2 linked regions of the Callithrix jacchus genome follow. The protein of the gene in region 1 interacts with the protein of each later gene in a biochemical or structural test. Links are inferred from orthologs where the notes say so. Each region holds a gene or a part of one and is shown in the gene's direction. Other genes may lie near its edges.

Region 1 (2,727 bases):
CAAGGTGGTTGGATCACCTGAGGTCAGGAGTTTGAGACCAGTCTGGCCAACATGGTGAAACCACATCTCTACCAAAAACACAAAAAGTTAGCTGAGTGTGGTGGTGGGTGCATGTAATCCCAGCTACTCAGGAGGCTGAGACAGGAGAATCACTTGAACCCAGGAGGTGGAGGTTGCAGTGAGTCGAGATCGTGCCATTGTACTCCAGCCTGGGTGACAGAGTGACACTCTGACTCAAAAAAAAAAAAAAAAAATACAAAAATTAGCTGGGTGTGGTGGTGCACACCTGTAATCCCACCTGCTTGGGAGGCTGAGGCACAAGAGTGGCTGGAACCTGGGAGGTGCAGGTTGTAGTGAGCCGAGATCGTGCCACTGCACTCCAGCCTGGGCAACAGAGCAAGACTGTCTCAAAAAAAAAAAAAAAAAAAAAAGGTGCCAGAATGAGTGATTGGTGATACGAAGAGAGGAGATCTGAGCGTACTAGACTGGGTGATGGAAGATAGTGTCCTGGTCAGGTGGGCTGTGCAGCTTTCAGAGATGAGTGAGGCTGAGGCAGGAGTCTGGTTAATTGGGGAGTACTGCAGACTGCCCAGAGATATTCATATTTAGAAATACCAAACACTGAGGGCCAGACAACACAACTTGCAGTGTCTGGTATGTGTCTGTTGGACTCTGAAAACTGAATGTCCTCATCTCTGAATTTAGGGTGGGAATTGGATGGCATATGGAGCAAGAGGGCATTGTGGATTGGCAGACTAGTGTAAAATAAACAAAGGCCTGCAGGTGGAAATGAGCCCTTCCTGTGGGGATAGTGATCAGAGAGGCAGAGAACTCCTTTTGGTGAGCCAGGAGAGTTAACACTGGCCGGGAATGATGGGGCCAAAAAGTGGCGTTCGAAACATGGTAAGGCTGGGAGGGTGGAGAGGGAAGACTTCCTGTCACCTCCTCTTTTTCCTCATTCTCACAGCTGGCTGAGAGTGACTTTGCCTCCACCTTCCGGCTGCTCACAGTGTTTGCTTATGGGACGTACGCTGACTACTTAGGTAACCAGAGGGGTTGGTGCTCTGGAGTAATGGAAATAGAAGGGCAATTTCTGGAGGGACTTGGAAGAAATTCCTGGGATATCCCACTTAGATCCCACCTCGGGGTGCAGAGGATCAGGGTCAAGCCTGAATTGGCCTGGAAAGTGGGAGGGGAGGGAGCAAGGGAAGGAGGCTAGGGCTTCCCACAAAACTGCAATCAGGATTCCGTATACTTTGTCATTTTTCCCTAGCTGAAGCCCGGAATCTTCCCCCGCTAACAGAGGCACAGAAGAATAAGCTTCGACACCTATCAGTTGTCACCCTGGCTGCTAAAGTAAAGGTGAGTGGCAGTCCCCCAGTCTAGAGCATCCTTTTGTATGTCCCTGGGAGTCTGCACTAGGACAGCTCTTGTGTGAACTGTGGCTATTTCCTGCCCTCCCCTCCTCCAACGTCTGTATATAAACTCCATTAGCAACTGTTTAGGCTGAATATTGTCCATAGTTTTCTGTCTTTTTATTTTTCAATCAACTTAAGTTCTAAATAAACATCTCTTGTGTTTTTGGTCAGAATGGCATGTTGTTCAGCAATACCATCCTCCCCACTTCATCAAGCCCTGTATAGACACAGCCTCCAGGCTGGAAACCGGGCTCTCTCCTGAGATGTGCTAGGCTTCTCTTTGTTAGAATAAGAAATATATATCCCGGAAGCATCTCTCTATTCCTGTTAGGCTGGTTTTTGTCCAGTATCGCCACCCACCTCCCCCACCTGCCCAGTCTGCGGCCTCGCAATTGTTGCTTGACTCTCAGTTGTCCTCAGGATTTAATTTAAACCAGGCTCTCTATTGAGAGATGCCTCCAAAGGATTGCCTCTGGCAAGTAGGCAGAGTATAAATGATAAACAGTAACTCCAGACCTCTCTCACTACTGCTTCCTCCCCTATGTCCAGCTGTTCTTGACTAAGGACTGGGTGACACCCTGAGCTTTGGCCAAAGGAGTGACACCTAGGCAGGTGTCATTTTTCTCCCTCTGTGGTGTGGGAGGGGTAAGGGTGGAAGGGGAGCATTTTGTATTTGATTTAAGAATGTCCTTCTAATGATCCTGTTTTTGAAGTGGGAATACTTTTATTTTGCTTCAGAACCAGGCTCTTAGAGGAAGTGATTTAGGAATGGGAGTGGAGGGCAGGTGGGCTGGGGGAGGGGGAAAAGGAGGGAAGATTCTTGGAAGCCCTTTCCTGCTGCGGAGCCTCACAAATCCTGGCTTGATCTCCGCGGCCCCAGTGTATCCCATATGCAGTGTTGCTGGAGGCTCTTGCCCTGCGTAACGTGCGGCAGCTGGAAGACCTTGTGATTGAGGCTGTGTATGCTGATGTGCTTCGTGGCTCCCTGGACCAGCGCAACCAGCGGCTGGAGGTTGACTACAGCATTGGGCGGGACATCCAGCGCCAGGACCTCAGTGCCATTGCCCGAACCCTGCAGGAGTGGTGAGAACCATATCCTGGTGCTGTCCCCTTCCTTCTCACTCTGAGAAAGTGAAAGGTGCTTCAGGGTGAGAGAGGGCAAGAGCTGGGCTGGTCTGCAGAGGTAGAACTGAGGGGGATGAAGGAAAATGAGTTCAAAGGCTTCTGGGGAATGCAGGAGTAGGGAGGTCCTGGGAGGCGGCAGAAGTCAGTGTCCTTGATATAGTAATTCAGGGATGGAAAGGGAGTG
Region 2 (3,521 bases), on another chromosome or scaffold:
ACTCTCTACTTCACCTGTGATGGAGGGATTCTTTTTTTGATCTTCATTAATATTTGCAATAGTGAGGCAGACACTGCTTCAGACATCTTGCCTTTTTTGCATTATTTATGAAATTACTAGGTAATGATGCTCTTTGAAAAAGCAGCCAGTTCGTTAAAAAAAAAAAGCCTTCATATATAGATGTTGAATTTAGCATTTCAAGGTCCCCTTAATAATTTCGTAGTTTGAAGGATTTTCTTGATTGCTTTGATCTTATATTTTCTCCCTAGCACAGGACAATTGATTTATTTTCAGTGGTAGTTGAAATAAATATGAAATTAGATACTGTTTTTTTCAGTGGTCATAATTATCATTTTAATAGTACTCTAGCTTATCTGTGAGGAAACCAAAGAGATAAAAATGTCATTGGTTTTCTAAACAAGTTAAAGTGACTAAATGTAGACTTTGAATAAATGGGAACATCTTCTTTCAAAAAATGATTCATTCTGATTATGAAAGTAATTGACATAACAGTTACATGGCAAAAAGTTGGAAAATTCGAGTATAGTGCTATACATAGCAATTAATGTAAATTTGAATTGTGAATGGAAAAAAGTACAGAATATTAATATATGCAAAACAAAGTTGCATGAATTTCTCCTCCCATTCCCTTCCCTCCCACATCAATAAAGTATAGAATTATTTTCAAAGCTGGGGCCAAGTGAATTATAAACTGTGTTCTTGCCACATGGTGGCACCACTTTTACAGGTAAATAGAATTTTTCTATTAGGATTAATCTTGAATTATATGAGTTTTGAATTATGTGAGATCTTCAGTTATGTATTTCTGGCATAAAATGTGACCACGGAGATGAAGGGGAAAATGAAAACCACTTATTATCTCAGTACCCACAGATAATTGCTGTTACTATTTTGATATATGTATATAGAAATATATTTTGATAGTTTTTTACGTACTGTTGTATCTAGTTTTTTTTTTTACTTAGCAAAAATACATGATGACTGTTATCACATAATAATGGTTATAATTATACAGCGTTCTACCATTTTTATGTACAACTTGATTACCAATAATGTCATAATGGGTGATTTCCATTTTTTTCCTAGCATAGGTATTTATAAATAACTTTACAAATGAATATCATTTTAGGTGCGTATGTGTGGACATCCCTGGCTATCTTTTTAGGTTTTCTTTTCTTGATTTTTTTTTTTTTTTTTTTTAGAGACGAAGTCTTGCTGTGTCCCCCAGGCTGGAGTGCAATGGGACGATATTGGCTCACTGCAACCTCCGCCTCCTGGGTTCAAGGGATTCTCCTGTTTCAGCCTCCTGAGTAGCTGGGATTACAAGTGTGCGCCATCACTTCTGGCTAATTTTTCGTATTTTTAGTAGAGATGGGGTTTCACTATGTTGTTCAGGCTGGTCTCAGACTCCTGACCTCAGGTGATCCATCTACCGAGGTCTCCCAAATTGCTGGGATTATGGGCATGAGCCACCATGCCTGGCCTTAGGATTTATTTTCTAAAGATAAATGTATAATGGGTTAAGGGTATATTCGTTTTAAAGGATTCAACAGATAGTTGGAGAGCATATTTCCAAATTGTTTTCTAGGAAAGTTGTCTCACTAGTTATATATGATATACCCCTAAACTGGGAAGTTGTTCTTGTAAGAGCTTTAGCTGGTAAGATTATCTGAGGATTAAAAGCAGCTAAGATATAATGGGATCAATGATGATAAAAATTCAATAAAACTTACTTTTTAGTTTTTGTATAATGCAGTAAAAAGTTTGATTCCCTTATGGTACCAGAATATATATGAGGCAAAAGCAGCATATCTTCTATTATTCCTAAAATTTTCTTGACAAAATGTTGACTCATTATGTGTTTTTATGTTACATCCTAGACAGTACAATGTAGATTATAAACTGGAGACTTACTTGAAGATTGCTAGGCTATATCTGGAGGATGATGATCCAGTCCAGGCGGAGGCTTACATAAATCGGGCATCGTTGCTTCAGAATGAATCAACCAATGAACAGTTACAGATACATTATAAGGTAACAGCTGAGTTGATTTGGAATTAATTTTGTATTGGAGAAATTGTGACATACTAAGATGTTCCAGAACATCTGATAGATGCTCTTAAATATTAGAAATTCTTTTTCTGTTTTTTTTTACTCTCACTTTTTAATTTTTCCCCCTAATTGAAACATTTTCCCTCTGTAGGTATGCTATGCACGTGTTCTTGATTATAGAAGAAAATTCATTGAAGCTGCACAAAGGTACAATGAGCTCTCTTACAAGACAATAGTCCATGAAAGTGAAAGACTAGAGGCCTTAAAACATGCTTTGCACTGTACCATCTTAGCATCAGCAGGTAAACACGTAGTAATTTATGCTTAAATGAACAGTTACCTTTGCTTGATAACTTGAGGTTGGTTACTATTGGGAAATTTAGCAAGGAACTATTCTTCAAAGGGATGTCTTAATACAATTATGGTAAATGTAGTTTAAGTGTTTAAATAAAAACGAATAAAATGGTTTGTTAAAATAATTTAATATGCTCATATTAGTCTATTATGCATATGTGTTAAGAATAGTTAAAGGAGATAATGTAAAGTTTAGTTCTAAAATTTTACTAAAGAAATGGATATTGGCTGGGCATGGTGGGTCACGCCTGTTATCCTGGCACTTTGGGAGGTCTAGGCAGGTGGATTACGTGAGGTCAGGAGTTTAAGATCAGCCTGAGCAGCATGGTGAAACCCTGTCTCTTATAAAAATTAAAAAAAAAAGAAAGAAATGGATATCAAATTAAGTGAGAATTACGCAGAGTGAAACAAAAATTAAAGTCTATAGCTTGATGAAATGATAATTAATGTACTGCTTTTGGAATTTTTTTTAACTTTCAAGCCTCAGCTTTAAATCTGGTATTCATCCTTTTCTCCAATACATGTAACAAATAAATATTCTTTGTTCTTTTTACTAAATTATAGCATGTAAATCACTTATGAAGTAGAAAGGGCATTAAGAGGAAATGCTAATTCTAAACCATAGCTTTTCTTGCCCTTTTTTTTTTGAGAAGGAGTCTCACTCTGTCGCCCAGGCTGGAGTGCAGTGGCGCCGTCTCAGCTCACTGCAACCTCCGCTGCCAGGGTTCAAGGGATTCTCCTGCTTCAGCCTCCTGAACAGCTGGGACTACAGGTGCCTGCCGCAATACCCAGCTAATTTTTGTATTTTTAGTAGAGATGGGGTTTCATCACCATGTTGACCAGGTTGGTCTCGAACTCCTGACCTCATGATCCCCCTGCCTTGGCCTCCCAAAGTGCTGGGATTACAGGTGTGCGCAGCTGCCATGCATGGCCTACCCATAGCTTTTCTTATATCACTCTATCACCCAGGCTGGAGTGCAGTTGCACAATCACTGCTCATTATAACCTCAACCTCCGGGACTTGAGTGATCCTCCCGTCTCAGCCTCCCAAGTAGCTGGGACTATAGGCACACACCACCATGCCCAGCTAATGT

The links. The genes of interacting proteins can lie anywhere in the genome.
Region 2: the proteins of COPS7A (region 1) and COPS4 form a complex in vitro, tested with the Homo sapiens proteins (2 studies listed by BioGRID). The link is inferred for Callithrix jacchus from reciprocal best matches to the Homo sapiens genes COPS7A and COPS4.

What each region holds. Positions count from the first base shown.
Region 1 is NC_133510.1:20,919,892-20,922,618, forward strand, and holds part of COPS7A (COP9 signalosome complex subunit 7a), read left to right. Parts: intron 1-967; coding exon 968-1,043; intron 1,044-1,273; coding exon 1,274-1,362; intron 1,363-2,298; coding exon 2,299-2,501; intron 2,502-2,727.
Region 2 is NC_133504.1:114,734,724-114,738,244, reverse strand, and holds part of COPS4 (COP9 signalosome complex subunit 4), read left to right. Parts: intron 1-1,901; coding exon 1,902-2,055; intron 2,056-2,224; coding exon 2,225-2,375; intron 2,376-3,521. UniProt on the Homo sapiens protein: Component of the COP9 signalosome complex (CSN), a complex involved in various cellular and developmental processes.